Drosophila melanogaster: one gene and its partner. The protein of the gene in region 2 interacts with the protein of the main gene of each other region in a pairwise test. Each region holds a gene or a part of one and is shown on either strand. Other genes may lie near its edges.

Region 1 (7,946 bases), on a different chromosome or scaffold from region 2:
AAAGCGAAAAAGAATGTTAGGAAATGTCATGCGAATTGTGCGACGGTGCAGCCCCCAAAAGGCGGTGGCAATCCAATTCTGCCACATGAAACTGCAATTTGCATGTCTGTCTGCTCGTGTCCTCGGCTCCCGACCACCCATAGCCCAACCACTCGGTTAAGTAATTGCCTCCCAGCGCGGAAAATGGTCAAGCAACAAGTTGAGGTTGATTATTGGGAATATTCGCATGGGCGGTCGCTTTGTGTAAGTGCAGTTTACCCCTTTTACCTTTGGCTGTTATGCATTTGTTTGTAAACAAATGCCCTAACCCCGGATAGAGTGGGTGCAATGTGGCATCGCATTGGAAGTCCTTTCGCTCGGAGCGGGAACCACGCATGCGCCATTCAAATTTCCCGCCACAACTGTTATACATGAGTTTCCCCTGAGGAAAATCCTGAGGGAAATGGTCAGCGATTGGATGCACTAGAGCAATACCAGAATGATCCTTAGGTTTAAAAGAAAACGGAAGCCAGCTGGTCAAGCTAACAAAATGTTGAAAAGCGATACATTTATCTCAAATGAAATATTAGTCCACTGATGACCATAGCATAATATCATATTAAAATGGAAATGAAAAGTGGATAGTTATTAGCCAAGAAAAAAAGTACAGTTTCTCCTTGGCGACCCAATTAAATCCCCCAACTCGAAGCACCTAAATGACCAATACAACCAACTCACACCACTTAAGACACATTCATTTTTGGCTAATTAATAGGCCGTGTGCTAATGGAATTTTCCCCACGATAAGGCAAACCAACCAATAGTCAATCGCTCAAGAAATTACCATTAGGCCCATTGTCACTGGAATATGTTGAATGAAGGCAAACGAATTTATTTGATTTTGACCGCGGTTTCTTGGATAAATATTGAAAAAGCGTAATTAGCGCAGAACACATAATAATGCACTCGAGTGATTAATTAGCGAGGCCAACTCATACCAAAATCATTGACCATCTAAGCGCTTTTCAGCCACTAACGATTTGCTCTCAAATTCTCAGCACGCAGTTGGCATAAAAGTCGAAAAAAGAAATTTGCAATCAAATTGGAAGACCGCAGCGAATAAAAGCCACCGGCTAACTGACCATTTCGGTTTATTGGGTGCACAAATATTGAAAAGAAATTTGCGCTAAACGCCTCAAATTGCCAGGCCTGATAGCCACACGTATCGAAATGGCAATAAATGCAAATGAAAAGCTATAAACACGATAACCAGGCCTACGTCTGTCCACCCTTAACCCATAACCCTTAACCCTCTCTCTCTCTCTCTCTCATTCGAAAGCAAGGGTTATGGTTATGAACACCCGATGTGTGGGTTAACCAAAAGGCATTTTCAATAAATACCAATTATGATGAGCACAGCCTATTGACCATTTAACCGGGCATTCGACTTTGGCAGTTTCGATTTGGGCATGCGAATTATTGTCGAAGTTATTATTCCCATGTTTTCGTTTTGTGGGGTGGAACATATGGCCTTTTTTTCAGGTGGGTCATTCCATGGCCCATTTATGGAATTATGCCATGGCATAAAAATTTGATGAGCTTCAACTTCACAAGTGCCTGGATCCCAATGAAAAGTTTACAATAAACGAGACCGGGGAATTTCCATGATTCGAAATCGCGTGGGTTCTTACGCAAGTTGGGAACTCGCAGCCCCATCCCCTCCGCAGACCAAACTCCATCTATTTTCTATCCAAATTGTCAGTTGGCCAGTTGGCTCCAACATTGCATGTCTTGGCATACGTGGGCCATGAAAAATTCATGGCCCGCCTTCAATGTACTGCCACATAATTAGACTGTGGGGCTGCCAAAAAAATAAAGGTTGTCCTGAAAGCAGGATTGTTAATAGATACCCTGCGGCAAATGAGTGTCGGCAATAACTCGCACACTTAAATCTGAAAGGGAAAAAGTTTATAATATTTTAAAAACTTTTTTTAAAGAGTTCTGATAATTGTTAAATATTCAATCCTATTAAAAACATATATTTAATAAGTAAGATACATATACAATATGATGTGTTAAAAAAATGTATCATAAGATACAATACAATAATTGCTGTAATTACTATCACATGATCACAAGGCCAAATATACCCCTGACAGATCCCACTACACGGTATCCAAATGGAGCACCTGCCCTGCTGTAGGCGATTAGCTTTGTCTATTCGCCGTCGCTCCAAAACCCAATAGATGTGGTCTATAAAAAACAATGCCGCAATCGTTTGATTTCCGCACCAAGATTGCAGCCATTCCAGGTCCTGAAATTTGCGCGCTTATCACTATAATGTCGATTGGTCAGGGCAACCCCCTCAGCACCAAAAGCCCCCCGGGTGGGCCAAAGGGGGGTCGTTTCGCGTAAAGGTCATTGTGTTATTAGTGCCGCTGCACTTAAACTAACGCAAAAGTACCACCATTTATATTATTTATGCCGCATATGGGATATCCTTAGTTGGAGGACTCTTGAAGGTTCTTCGCCGGGTAATTCCCATAATTTGGCTAAATATAATCTAGATTTTTATTTTTAAAACCGAAGAAGGATTTACTTGGCGTCCAGTGGCAAAGTTTTCAATATAAAATGCCCGTCACGGCAACTAATTGAATGCTATGTTTTCCATGTTGTTTTGAAGGCCTTTCGACTGGGGTGTACTTAGCAAATTGCTTGTCCTTTGTTGCATAATAAATGGAATGTAAACACAAGTGCGCCATGAACCGAAAACACACCGAACTTGGACTCCATTTTTTTTTGCGCGGCCAGCAAAGAGGTCAGCATTACAAATGGAGCACCTCCCAACCATCCATCCAATCCGGTAATTTTGGGCCTTTGTGCGATTGACACACGCATGTCAGGCCCCATTACTGGATCTCCATCAGGCATTACCTCCTCCTTACCCTACATCGCCAGTTAATTCCATTGGAAATTGCGCATTGCCGTTTGGATTTTCCTTGCACCTGACGCACCAATCGAACGCCCAACCACCCATTTACCACCCCCCCCCCCCCACACACACACACACAAAAGACACACGCCCATCCATCAGAAAAGATAATTTACCGGTCGGCCATATCGATCGTGTGAAGCTCGCAACGCTTTTCCGTACCTCCTTCCCGAATTGCGTGCCGTGATGTTCAATTTTCCGTAGAGTGGACAAACGAAACCGCAAATGGAAAAACTAAACCAACTATTTTAGCCGCCAAAGGGGGCGGGGGGCGGGGCATTTGGCCATCGGCGGTCTTTTGGGTTTGAGGTGACCAACATGTGTGCCGCATACATGAATTATTAATTGACAATTGCCGAAAATGTCCATTAACCGGGACAAAAGGGAAGGAGCACGGAATTGGGGGTGGGATCGGGTGCCGGGAAAATTTCAATTCCAGGCTAATGAAAATTATGGCAAACTAACCCCGTTTTTCCGTCCACTGGCAGGTGTTTCCATTTTCCTTAGCAAACTTCTAAAGAGTCGATCGGCTACTATGTCAATTCATTGTATGTAGAGATACTTTAATGCATAGTTCATTTGTAAAGTTAAGTTACTAAAACGTATAAATAAGAAATCTTGTGATTGAAAGGAGTTGAATTTCATATATATACCTTTAAAGGGTATCCACAATTCGAAAGACCCGAAAACACTCATGTACAGTTGCAAATTACCACTTCCTGTGGACTTCGCTTGCACTGTCAGTTTTGTGAACATGGCTAATTGCTCTGGTTTAATGTGGCACGCTCTATTGGCCAACTGATCGTTTTTGGCCGAAATATATTTTCTATCAGCTTGGCATCAATGTTCATTCCCCAGCTATTGGGATGACAATTATTTCTACGTTTAAAAGCGACAGTCAAAAACGAGGCACACGCATTAAGTACCAGGCATTATATAATAAATCTCCCTACAAGTGTTACAATAGACCCACAGCCAAAACAGCTGAACTAACAACAAGAGTTGGTCAACGAAATAGCCGGTTTTGAGTGAGAGAGCCGCTTCTATTCACTGACGTGTCATTCAACTCGATCGAGAAATTGTGGAGACGAGAACTTCAGAGCATTTCAGACTACCAGAGAGTCCAGAACTGAGTGAGTTGGCCAAAGCAGCCAAACAATTTCAGCTGAGCGAAGCGTAAACTGGCCCAAAACTCGAACTCGAATACAACTTTACCGCTCTTCTCGCGCTCGTTTTTAGCCAGTTTGCGCTGACAAACGGCAAGAGTAGGGTCAAGTTCAGAAGTCTCTGGTTTTTGCCACGAAGATGATGCATATTTTGGTGACTCTGCTCCTGGTCGCTATCCACTCGATACCCACCACCTGGGCCGTCACCTGCACGGGCTGCGTGGATCTGGATGAGCTGAGTTTCGAGAAGACGGTGGAACGATTTCCCTACTCCGTAGTGAAATTTGATATCGCATATCCGTATGGGGAAAAGCATGAGGCCTTTACCGCCTTCTCCAAATCTGCCCACAAGGCAACTAAAGATCTGCTAATAGCCACCGTGGGTGTCAAGGACTATGGAGAACTGGAGAACAAGGTGAGTTTTATTTTATGGATTACCTAGGATTTAGATATGTGGTAATGATTGGAAAAAATGTGGTTTCTGCTCTGTTCATTTGGAATCCTGGATTGCAGCCTAAAGCTTGGATGCCCTTCTAAAGACTCTGTGCTATTTAAATTATTTAAAAGCACTTTAAATTTGATTTATTTATTATTTCAACTTTTTAATCCCAATTTGCAGGCCCTGGGCGACCGTTACAAAGTCGACGACAAGAACTTCCCGAGTATCTTCCTGTTCAAGGGCAACGCTGATGAGTACGTCCAGCTTCCTAGCCACGTCGACGTAACGCTGGACAATCTGAAGGCTTTTGTCAGTGCCAACACACCTCTGTACATCGGTCGTGATGGCTGCATCAAAGAGTTCAACGAAGTGCTCAAGAACTATGCCAATATCCCCGATGCAGAGCAACTGAAGCTTATCGAAAAGCTGCAGGCCAAGCAGGAGCAGCTGACCGATCCCGAGCAGCAGCAGAACGCCAGGGCCTATCTGATCTACATGCGGAAGATCCACGAGGTGGGCTACGATTTCCTGGAGGAGGAGACCAAGCGACTCCTGCGCCTCAAGGCCGGCAAGGTCACCGAGGCCAAGAAGGAGGAGCTGCTGAGGAAACTGAACATCCTGGAAGTCTTCAGGGTTCACAAGGTCACCAAGACAGCGCCGGAAAAGGAGGAACTGTGAACTTGTTAGATCTTTAAACAAAATTATGAATACTTTATGATATTTATAAATGTCGGATCTCGACAGAAACATGTGAATGTACAATTTATACGAATTATAAGTCTATCATCCAAATAAAGACAGTTTTTTATGTTGAAATGCCTTGTAGTAATTAAATCAAACTATTTTATTTCCACTCCTCATTGCCAGTTAACAAGTCAGTTAAACACAAATAAGCCTTCAATTTATAAGTCCTCTGGTACATGCATATTTACATTTACATAGAACTTCGTTTTACCATTAATTAGAAAGTCTAGGCGTGATAAATAATCTCCAGAGGGAAATGGAAGGGGTAGTGAAATGCGATGAAAATCGTTAAGTACCACCGTACCCTGCAAATCGACCAAAAAAGGATATATAATTGTATATTATTTTGATTAAAAACCTTACCACATACGGGCAAGAATGGTTGATGTTGGATGCATCCTTTATCATATTATAAACTATTTTAATGACGGGATTATTTGGTTTTCGCAAAAATTGGCAGGCATCGACGGTGATATCGAAAAGAAAAGGCTTGTAACCATTGGCCCTCTTCAGCATCTGAAATCTGACAGATATGCTATTGATTGGATGCAAAAAGGTTGCATTTATGTGCAAACTAGTCTTGGTCCTGGAATAGGCCTTCAATCGACAGTAATGAAAAACGGTCAACGATTTATCATATGATTCACAAACAACATTTGTCATTTTAACCATAGCCGAATCCTAAAGAAGTAAATATACTTTCTACATTTTATTAAAAACAATATCGGGCAATCTTACGCTGTAAACCAAAAAAACGACAGCCACAAAAACTCCCAGAATTATCACATTGGCCAGCATGTCCGACAAACACAAAAATCAATTTAAGACTGTAATATAAACTATGAACTAGGTGATGGTAGTTCAACACATAATTAAGATATACTTTTCATAAATATGTTTACCTCTTTAATTACACAAAATTGATATATTAGTCAGCACAAAACGATTCAGCGTGTTTAGGTATACCATTTAAAATAGAAACTTAATATAGTAATGCTTAAAAAACATTGAAATCAGATACAAAAAGTTACCTATTGCAAACTTTATGTTTTAACCCAGAAATGGCTGTCTTTGAAATAATCGATTTGTTTCATTGATTAATTTTGCTGTCTTCTGATTTGATCTGAGTGATATATTGTGGGTTGTCTTGTACTGAAGAGGTTATTAAAATTCAATTTCAGTGATGGTAGCACGATATCTGATGTATTTTTTAATTATACAAAATTGATTTGATATGCAACAATCATTACGGTGCTAGTTTTGCGTTCATTCGAATATATCTGCTACATATCTGCTCTGTTTTAGAATACCCTTAAATGATAAATAAACTGTCTAAAACCGAAGGTATATATTAGTGTTGAAGCACAAAAAATAGCTTCAAATGTAAGCAGATACTAATGAAGTTGTATATTAAGAAAAACGTTTCCAAAAGCTTGGGCAAATATGACTTAATGATGCAAGTGCGGTTAACTAATAATATAGGTAATAAATTGAAATTGTGTTTTCGTTGAGGGTCATATTTGCAAAAGCTGGTAGCTATGTATGAGCGAACTAGCGAAATCTATTAAATAATTATATTTTCAAGATATCTTAATCAAATAATTATGTTTTTCTTAAACTGTTTATTAGCTTCAATAAGTTCAATTAAGAACTATAATGTTCATAGAAACGGGTGGTCAAAAATCCTCCACAAAGTTAAAATAAATATTCACGTGAAACTGCTTCTTAGCATAGAAGATGAAATCTAGTAACACTCCATAGTCTCCTGAAGGTAATGGTACTGGAAATACAGCGGTGTGATAATCGCTAACCACTTGCAAGCCCTAAAAAAATGATTAAAGTTATTAAATTTGCTGATGGCCAATATGGCGTAACCTAACTTACCACATAAGGACATGTATGATTTAGTGTAGAATAATCCTTTATAAAGCTATAAAACATTTTTATGACGGGATTATGTCGTTTTCGCAGAAATTGGCAGGCGTCGATTGTGACATCGAAGAGAAATGGCTTATAGCCACTTAATCTTTTCACCATCTTTAATCTGAGGGATACATTATTCGTTGGATGCAGAAATGTTGCATTTATGTTCAAGCTGGTCTTGTTACGCGAGTAAGCCTTTAGCCGGCAATAATGAAAAACAGCCCAGGATTTGTTTATTGATTCACAAACTACATTTGTCAGCTTAATATTGGGTGCTTCCTGAAAATATATTATTTAGTTTCACTTTCAAAATTTAAATTTTTCTCACACTTACACTGCTGATGAGGAACAAAGCTGCTAAAAAAACTCCAGGAAGGATAACGTTAGAATTCATTGATGATATATGTATGTATGCATTTGAGCAACACTATAAGACTGGGAAAACATAATACCTGTTCTTCGCTTTTGTGATATAACAGGTATTGAAAATTTCACTTTCGATGGAATCGCTACAAATAAATATTATAGTCTCTTTCACTGTTTTGTGTATAGCAAAATTGTTTTTTATTATAAATCGATTTATGCATATGTTTTTTTTTTTTCAGTTCTCTCTACACGTAATTGCATTTTTTGATCATTAAAATTAGAGAGTCATTAGCTTACATATATACAAATCCCATTTGCGAACTGTGACATTGTTCAC
Region 2 (9,530 bases):
CCGGTCTTTGATTGGGCTTATATAGTGGACCAGTACACACGAAAACGGATCCAAATCGGTGGACCAGATTTCGAACATATTGTTCCAAGTTGTTCCACGCGCTTCGGTTGAAGCCCTGGCCCACTTGTGGGGCAATATTCGTTAGGAAAAACGTATCCTCGCAGTGATTCTGTTGCAGATGGTGATTTCCTGCGGCTGCCAAGTGTCCTCGGTCGAATCCAGATCTCCGATAGTCGCTCAGTTCCGATCGGAAGTTGGAGGGAACACTCAAATCCGGCTGGTATGGGTTGCGACCACGTCTGCCTCGATTCGGATGTATGCTGTCCGCCTGGAGGTGCTCGCACACCCAGTGGGCCACTCGGTTTCGGCGATCGTAGGATAGTACGAAGTCACTATACAGACGCAAGTCATCCAGGCCAGGGAACCCAAACTTCATGATCTGCCTCATCCGGTGATCGTCTTCATTATTGCTCTCAAAGAAAGTAAACTGGTTAGGGAAATTATTTTGGTGCAAGTGTTACTTATATTCTTTTACTACAGTATTGGTTACCACTTCATAAATTTTGGGACTGAGATAGTAGGCATAGGGATCCGTTTGTATTAGTTCCCGCAGGCGTTTTCTGGCATCTGTGTGCTGAAAATACATTCCACCCACGAAGGATGCACAGAGCGCAGTCACTCCCAGGACGAAACCCAGTCCCAGGAGCTGCCATTTTCGGTCCATGAAATGGGCTCTGTGAATTACCCCTCAAAAGCAAATAAAACATTGTTTATCTGAAGGATTTCTCATGGCCATCATTGTCTCCTTCAACATATATGTATTTATATTCTATTTTGGAGAAATACTTGATGTGAGGGCACTGTGACTGTCTAAGGCATTAGTCATCGGCAACGTTAACGGATTTGTTAAAGGACCGTTTACTGAGGGGACAAATGAATTTGATGCTTGGGTGTTGACAAAGTTGCGGTCGAGTCCTTCAAAGAACCGTAGACCAGTAGCGTTTTCTATTTCCCGGACATCGCTGAGAAGCGTCTTCAGTTCGACATTGTTGTTCAGCGGAGAGTTGGGCATCACATAGGCCTCCGCATAGGGAATGGTATCGCCCGCGAACTTCTTATCAATGACCAGGATCTTGAAGAAATGGGTGGGTACGGCCACCATGGTTCTCTCCTCCGACTGGAACTCCAGGAACCAACTGTTCGACTTTAGCTCCCGGGGCAAGTAAATTGATCCGGTGTAGGCATACACGGTTCCATGTCGTTGACTCATCTCATGGACGTACTGCAGCAGTCGATCCCAGACAGTGAGATTGAACCCTCTGTTTAGAAAGGGCCTAATGTTGGACAGGAAAAATACCCTGGCTGCCTCCGACTGTCCAAATGCTCCAGCTGGAGCCACGGATGTGGAATCCCCGTAGACGACGCGATTGGACAGATCTACCCGCTCGCACATCCACAGAATCGCAGAGTTTCTTCGATCGAAAGAGGTCACAAAGTCAAAGGTCTCATTTATGGTGATATCATTGGTGCTGGGGAAGCCGTACTTCATGATCCCGCCCAGCTTGTGGCAGTCATCGGTATCCACGTCGAATTCTGAGTTATCAGGGCGCACAGCGAAAATTCCCAGCTATAGATATGTTTAAAGGGAGTAGAGTTCGCTAATATATATATTATCTGAATCCTTAATCTATTTCCTTACCAGTGCGTACAGTTTCCTTCTGATAAAGTAGGCATGTGGGTTTCGTTGCTCCAATCGTCGAATCTTTCGCATGACATCGATGTGCTGATAGTAAGCTCCTAGTGCAAAAAACGATCCAGCAGTGGCCAGAATACCAATAATGCCCTTCACCGGCGCTTCCATCGATCCTTTATATCAAATCCTAGCAATTTTGTCTTATAAATTAGAAACAAATTCGAAATCGGTAACTTGTTTATTGTGCTGCAAGTAAAAGCTATGAGTTGTGTGTAGAAACTAACTTGGTTGTGCCTTAAATTTGAAAGTACTTCCCCCAAAAACCTGACTTTCCTGCAGTTAATCTTTAAAGTTTCCGTGTCCAAGTTCAGACCCGACTGCACTTGCCAACTGCATTAAGTCAATAGAAAAAGTTGCAGTCATCGTTGTAGAGCTAAAAACTAAAAGTCCCCAGGACAAAACATCCCCCATTCCCCCATTTGCTGCCCCCTTGAACCGCATAATAAGCGCTTTTTGGGGCTACGCCTGACTAAACCAAAAGCGGCGTCAAGATTTATTCTCGGAATCTCGTCGTACTTTGTTATGCTTAAAAATGTTAGTTGTGGATTTACAGTTTTTCCGTTTTGGCCAGAAAACTTTTCACCCTCCGCTCCGAAACTTTGATCGGTAGAGTGATGAAAAAGTGGACGAGCAAGGGAGGTGGGATGTTGAATTGTTGTTGCCAAAACTATTTAAATTTAAACCATATTCCAATGAAGTTATTGAATTTTCCGATATAGGCAAAAGGCAAAACCCTTTCACTTAAATCTCTGCGAAACAGTCTTTAAGTTAAGCTCATTCCAAGCTGGGCAAAAACTTTTTCCGACACATGACAAGGGATTCAAAGTGCAGTAAATTTGTTCGGAATGGAAAACTGTGACCAAGTCTCTGAATTTTCCTTTTCCAGGAACCGAATTCAAATTTCACCCTCAGCCGCAGGAATTCTGCACCACATCCTTCATCCATTTCAGTTGGTCGCGAGGCATTGCCAATTAATTTCCAACATCTAATTGGTGGTTGGCCAAATTTATTGGTCTCGTGGTGGATGGGCTGTTTGCCCTGCCCCCCCAGGATCTGTTTGCGTATTGATTGATGCCTGGAGGTCCTTGTGCCAATCTGAGGTGAACTGCATACCTTGTCGAGGGCTCAAGTAACTCGCTTTGCCCCTCGCGGATTTTCTAATCAACAAGGCAGCAGCCCAAATTTGCATAATTAAAACGTTTTCATGTGGCGCAGGTGGAAGGCAAGAAAGGCCACAAGAAAACCCACCCGCCCCAATTTTCCATTTTCTTTGCCAGCCGAAAAACTGACTCGCTAAGTGACTGAAAATTTGTCGCCTCATTTGAGTTTGGATTAATGAATTATGCACTCGGGGATGCTTAATTAAGCGGGTTTCGAATGTGATTAGGACCACGCAATTAGCCGATAGGTCTGAGCATTTTCGGGATCTGCGATAAGCATTCGCGCTGACTGACAGCCATAAAAACGTGGCCCCAGGATTCGGAAAACCATACTCATTACGCTGCCTTTTTCTGTATTTTACAGCAGGTCAACTTAATGGGGTAATTAACTTATCTGGGTTAAGAAAGGATGGATCGGTTAACCTTTTATGCGTGCCAATTAGCGCCAGAAGGGCTTATGGTTTTGTATAATCATAACAATTTGTCGGTTTTTTAAGGATATTTACTTAAAACTGCATAATACACTTATAATTTTCATGAGTTTTTGTTGTTTTAAACAGATAACAGCACTTTATATTTCTTTATACCTCTAATTTTCAAGATCATCAGCCTGCTAACCTAATCGATACTCTCTATAAGGAAGTATAATGATCTATGAGGAGAGAGAGAGAGAGAGAGAGAGAGTGAGCGAGCTGCGATGATCAGTTATCACTGGAGTGAGTAACCCACTGAGCGTAGACTTGGGGTCGCCGCGCTCTCCGCTCCGATTCGGAAAGTGGAGCTCGCAACGCTCGACCATCGAGAGATTGGCGGAGAGCTGTGTCAGTTGGTTGCGCACGCACCAGTCGACCGGTCAGATCTGCGGCTTATTCCGCCGGCGTTCGAAATTTATAACGGTGGAGATCGGTCATCGGACGCACTACACTCGATCGGTCAGAAGCCCCGAGGGAGATATCTTGGAACAGCCATGATCTCGCAGCTGGGACGGATTAGCATCATGAGTGCGGTGCTTTTGGCATTTGCGGCCATCGTATTTGGTGGGTAATATTCACACATTTCAAGGTCTTATCACAGATCTGTGTAGAAATTCATTTGATTGATATATTTTTGGTTTGCTTGCTATATCGTCTTTAACTAGCCAGCAGCTCGGAGAAAACCGAACTCGATCCCAATGCCACCTGCAACTACACGCTGGTGAAGAAGAAGACCTTGGGGGTGGATCCCTCGTTCTGGAAGAAGTTCTTCAAGCACCTCATACCCTTCACGAGTTCGAGGGGCAAAATGCAGTTCATACTCTTCAAGCGGGACTTCGCGGACTGCGGAAGGGAACTGTTCGTGGGCGATGTGGAAAACCTGAGGAACTCGGGCTTCGATGCACGTCATCAAACAAGGTAAGGGGGATTTCCGGGAAGATTAAAGCCCCGATCGAATGGGGAACTTTGCAGCGAAGTGAGTGTGCCACAATCAATTCATTACACTGAACGGTGAGATAATGGCTAAAAGCTGTACAAACCTTTCAGCTCGCAACAATTGACAGTGTATTTAGTATTCATACTACCACTAAGCCCCAGAAATTAATGTGAGAGCAAAGCACCAATCTAATGAATAGAACCAAAACAAATATTTGCTAGATTCTCTCACCAAATAATTTATTTTTTATATTTCGCGACTAACACGAAAACAGGTTTCTCTGCTTTATATATTTACATTTTTTGGTTGAGCTTTCGTTTGAATTATCGCCATTGAGTCATTGCCATTGGCCTGACAATTGATTTATTGCTAATTACAAGTTAATTCATTATAATAGCTAACAGATAGTAATTGCACAAATTTACACCAAATACGCCAAGCAATACACCAATTTTGCATTAAAAGATAAGATATCAGGCGAAGTTGATATCATATATACATAAATGAATTGAAATATGTTTATTTTAAAGGGAATTGCTATTAGTTTAGTATACATTGATATATTATATTGACTTTCCTGACTGCTTATTTTTAGGATAGTCATTCATGGCTGGATGAGTCAGAGCAAAGGTTCGCATATAAGGAAGGTTAAGAACGCATACCTCAGCCTGACCGATCCGGGACCCAACGGAGAGCCCGCCCCCTACGAGGACTTCAATGTGATCGTATGTGACTGGAGCAAGACTTCCACGAACGTAAACTACTACGAGGTGGCCAAGACGGTGGAGGACATGGGAGCCCTGCTGGCGGAACTGGTGCGCTATCTGAACCAGGAGGCGAACATGCACTACGACGACGTATACGTCATTGGACACTCTCTGGGAGCGCAGATCGCCGGCAGTGCTGGCAAGCAGATAATGCCATATCGATTCAACACCATATACGCTCTGGATCCGGCGGGTCCACAGTTCCGGGAGAAGAGCGACGAGTACCGAATCGATGCTAGTGACGCCTCCTATGTGGAGTCCATTCAAACCAGCGTTAGCTTTGGCTTCGAGCAGCCCGTGGGACACGCCACCTTCTATCCCAACTATGGGAAGAATCAGAAGAAATGCTATGTCTATGGCTGTTCTCATAAGAGATCCCATGACTACTTCATAGAGTCGCTGACGAGTCCGGCGGGATTTTGGGGACCGCGCTGCGAGCGTCACGATGATGGCACCTGGCTGCTCCTAATGAGCGATGGAGAGTTCCGGATGGGCGGGGAGCCCTCAATCCCCAAGAACGGAACTTTCTATGTGAAAACCTACTCAAAGCCACCCTATGCCATGGGCCACAGGTGGCAAACGGAACCGCCTCCACGGGAAGATGATATTGAGAACTCCACGGAAGAGTAGGATATTAGTTAATATGTGTACATTTGTTGATGAAATAGAAGTTTGGTATTTATAATTGGTTATTTTTCTTTTATAGAGAATTTATTATAAATAGTACACCTATTTCTAGAAACATTTTTTTAAGTTACTTCTTATCTCGCAACAACGTGAGCCAATTAAGTTTTATGGCGAACTATTCACAAAGAAAAACCATCTAGCGAGTGTGTAAGTCAGCTGGGAATAACTATTAGTAACCTAAACTTCAAGATAGGTATATAAACCTCACGAGGCACGGAAGGCTTATCCACTCTTTCCACAATATTCAACCGAAAATGTTCCGCGCTCAACGTGTTTGCTTTTACTTTATAGCTTTCCTGGCCTTCGCAGCTGCCAGACCTAAAATAAACTCGCAAATTTCCCAAAATCAAGTTGGATTTCGATTGTCCAATGTTTTGACCAAAGAAAGTGTTGCTTCCAAGTCATCAATGTCCACAGAGGCAACCAGTGAACCATCCACTGTGACTTCTGACGTGCCCACACTAACTTCACCATCATCATCATCATCTGAGGAAACTAGTGAAGCACCTGAAAGTTCCAGCCAGCAACTATCACCATTGACTGAAAGCTCCAGCGAAAAGGTATTTGAGGTGACCACAGTACCTTCATCTTCGTCGGCGGAAACTAGTGAAGCATCTGAGACTTCTAAGGCATTCACCGAAACAACCACCACCACGGAAAGTGACGTGACATCTGAAGATTCCACCGAAGATGAGTCATCTGAAGATTCCACCGAAGATGAGTCATCTGAAGATTCCTCCGAAGATGAGAGCTCCGAATCAAGTGAGGAATCAGAGGAAGGATCGTACTACTATGATGATTCGGAATACGACTACTACGATAGTTACTTATATTATTGATTCATCGCGTTACCATTAAACTTTATGTCAGATCGGAATACAAATCTTTTTGAAGAGGCTTGAAAATTTAGTAAAGTAAACAAAATGAAGCTGTCATTCATACTGGGTCTTGCCGTTTTTAGTCTTTTGGCTTCTACAGGAGCATTGCCGGTGCCTCAAGCTCCATTGGTTATGGCATTGGTCACCAAACCCGAAATGGATATTCCAGATATTGATCTCTGGGCCAGGACTTAAAAGGTGAGCAGAGATGCCAATTTTCGACGCCAAATCTTGATGAAACGTTTTAGTTACAGGATACTTTAGACTGCCTTCTGCACACTGTTTTTCGCCCTGATTCGCTGCATATTTGGAAAAGAATTTTTAATTAAAACAAACAATATGTTACCCAAATTGTTGCTGCTGCTTTTGGAGCGCCGAAAAGCTGTGCAAAATTGCACATATTGGACAAGAGGCTGCGACGGGTTGTTGCTAATGCATTTACTTGGCTTAATTAGTTGAGATTCTACATTATTCATACGCCACGTGTGACCAGCGGCCACCCACTCGCCTGCAAATGCCCACCCGCCCAATGTGCTGATGCCTGCCGTCTCCTTCTTTTCCTGACAGCATCATAATTTTCACTTAATTAAAGTTGTCGTTGTTGAGGGTGCTGAGTTTGAGGTTTAGCCCGGGGAGCAGTTAGAGAGTTGTGGCGGTGCATTCGGGTCGAAAGTTGGGCGGCGGGGGAAAAACACGGTATTTGTACTCACAAGTTTTCGCTCTTAATTTAATCCAGTCTAACTACGAAAGTTTTCGAATGCCTGGGTGGTAGTTTGATCGCAAGAGCTGGTTATTAAAATATCTTACGGTTTCGGAGGGAATTTGAATGCATATGAAAAGCACCTGGAAATATGCAAATATTTTCACTTAAAGAGATTCAATCCCTTCAAAAGCTTACCTACTAAAGTCGGAAAACGAAACACAATACCAAAAGTATTAAATTTCTCACATATTTCCGAAACACAAAGACATCTCCGGACAAGCTCACAAAGTTGACAAGCCGAGACAATTAAAGTTTGGCATAATCTGTTGATTGGCTTAATAAATATCCAAACTCACTTATCGTAATTGTTATCCTAAAGTGACAGATTGACGGCAAAGCCAAATGGAAGAAGAAATCCTTTGAGGTTCCGGACGAAAGGACAGCTCGGTTGAATCTCAGGTGGAAAATGGATTCACTTAAATTTTATGCAAAATCATTTATCCTTTTTACCTTTTGCCCAAATAGTTGGCAGCCCGATTTCGATTTGGCCCGAAGTGGTTTCTTTCGATTGATGATTGTGTGTGAATCCCCGAGGGCACAATATTTGCCCCTGAATTTGATTATTTAAATTTGCACATTCGTTTTCATGGCGCATAAATTATTTATGAGCCCAGTGTGTGGTAGCCGGCAGTTCCATTATGGCATTCTAATTAAGGCGGCCCACAGAATGTCTCCCAAGTTCATTGTAAGTAAGAAGCCCCAACTAACTGATGTCCAAGGGATGCGCATTGGAGCCTCAAAAATTCACCGTAAAATTCAGGAGCTGAGCACTTCGAGGACAAACCCTTTTGCGTTGACAGCCTGAACACCAATTTGTCGCCCTGAAATGGACCGTGTGAAAGCCTCGGAGTGCCATAACTTTGCCGATGTGTTGGGTGTTGAGATTGTCACCCCGGAAAACCCAAAAAAGCCAAAGAGACAGAGAGGAAAAATTAAAGCGAAATCAGGTTTCATTTTGCGGATGGCAAAGGGCTGCAAAAGGACGCCAGCCGAGATGTCCTGGCAAATGAGTCCGATACGAAGGCGATGACAATGACTTACATTGCTTGAAATCCGAGCAGCACAAGGACCTGCAGGACACCCAGTCCACACACAACACTCGCTTAAGTTCATGTGCACACGCACTTAGGTCAGCAGATATCGGGCCGAAAGTTTTACTTACAGATATAACCCCCCTCTATATCTCTGAATCTCCATGTCGCCGATGCCATTTGTGCAATTTTATAGCGTTTTTATGGCACACAAGTTTTGTGCTTTGTGCCCTCTGTCGGCGTGTCCTGAGTCCTGCGTCCGTTTTCCTCTTTAAAATATTCAAATTTGATGTGTGTGCGGGTGGAGTGGTTGGGAAATCCGGCACTTCTGTGTGCTCAACTGTGTAATAGAGACGGCCATCTTCAAGTCACGGGAAAAGGTCATAGGAAATGTGGGAAAACGCTTGGGGAAACTCGCTGGTATCTAGAATGTTAACTTCTAGGTCTTGTGAAAATTTCTAGCTTATAAAATGTATAATTTTGAATTTATTTCTAAAAATAATTAATAAAGGATTTATTCCTAACCTTGCTGAATATTATATTAAGCTATTATATAGAATGATTTTCATACAAGACCACTGGCTCCATCCCAGAATGGAAGGAACTCAGCCTTATACATATATGTACATATATTGTATGGCACATGGAGCCCCATTCACATGACCGTATCTATGTCAGTTCACTTGAGTGCTGTTGTTGCTGCGGCTCCTACTTTTCGGGCCTTTTTCCAAGTTTGCGGTGTGATTTTATGTGCAAACTTAAATTATACAATTTGGGGCTCCATGAATACATTTTTGCCCGTCTCCATCGTCTTGTGCTTTGCCGTAGTTGTTTTGCTGGCGAAAGGGACAATGAGTTGCTAAATGCTTTGAATATTCTTCTGGCCATTGCCTGGCATTGCATGCATAATATACGATATATGGCCATGTCAGATGCGAGTCCTGCGAGTGAGGTCCTGCATAAGGGAGGGAATCCTTGAGACGCTGGAGGAGGGGGGCAACAGTGTGTGTTTGTCGAGTGACAGGTCGAGTGTGTCGTGCGGTTTTCTTGCCAGAAATTGTTCTCAATCTCAGTTCAGTTC

The links. Proteins that work in one complex are often made in the same cells at the same time.
Region 1: the proteins of CG4267 (region 2) and wbl interact in a two-hybrid assay, tested with the Drosophila melanogaster proteins (one large-scale study listed by BioGRID).

Annotation. Positions count from the first base shown.
Region 1 is NT_033778.4:19,245,549-19,253,494, forward strand, and holds wbl (windbeutel), read left to right. Parts: upstream 1-3,846; 5' UTR 3,847-4,276; coding exon 4,277-4,552; intron 4,553-4,756; coding exon 4,757-5,254; 3' UTR 5,255-5,369; downstream 5,370-7,946. Other genes in the region: CG33454 (uncharacterized protein), read right to left, coding at 5,479-5,625, 5,687-6,001, 6,059-6,118; CG33453 (uncharacterized protein), read right to left, coding at 6,997-7,143, 7,208-7,522, 7,572-7,637. UniProt on the Drosophila melanogaster protein: Probable chaperone protein involved in dorsoventral axis patterning in early embryos. Probably acts by folding and targeting pipe (pip) into the Golgi.
Region 2 is NT_033779.5:2,238,642-2,248,171, forward strand, and holds CG4267 (uncharacterized protein), read left to right. Parts: upstream 1-3,736; 5' UTR 3,737-3,880; coding exon 3,881-3,950; intron 3,951-4,051; coding exon 4,052-4,304; intron 4,305-4,918; coding exon 4,919-5,720; 3' UTR 5,721-6,633; downstream 6,634-9,530. Other genes in the region: Tengl2 (testis EndoG-Like 2), read right to left, coding at 1-487, 551-724; Tengl1 (testis EndoG-Like 1), read right to left, coding at 830-1,627, 1,700-1,861.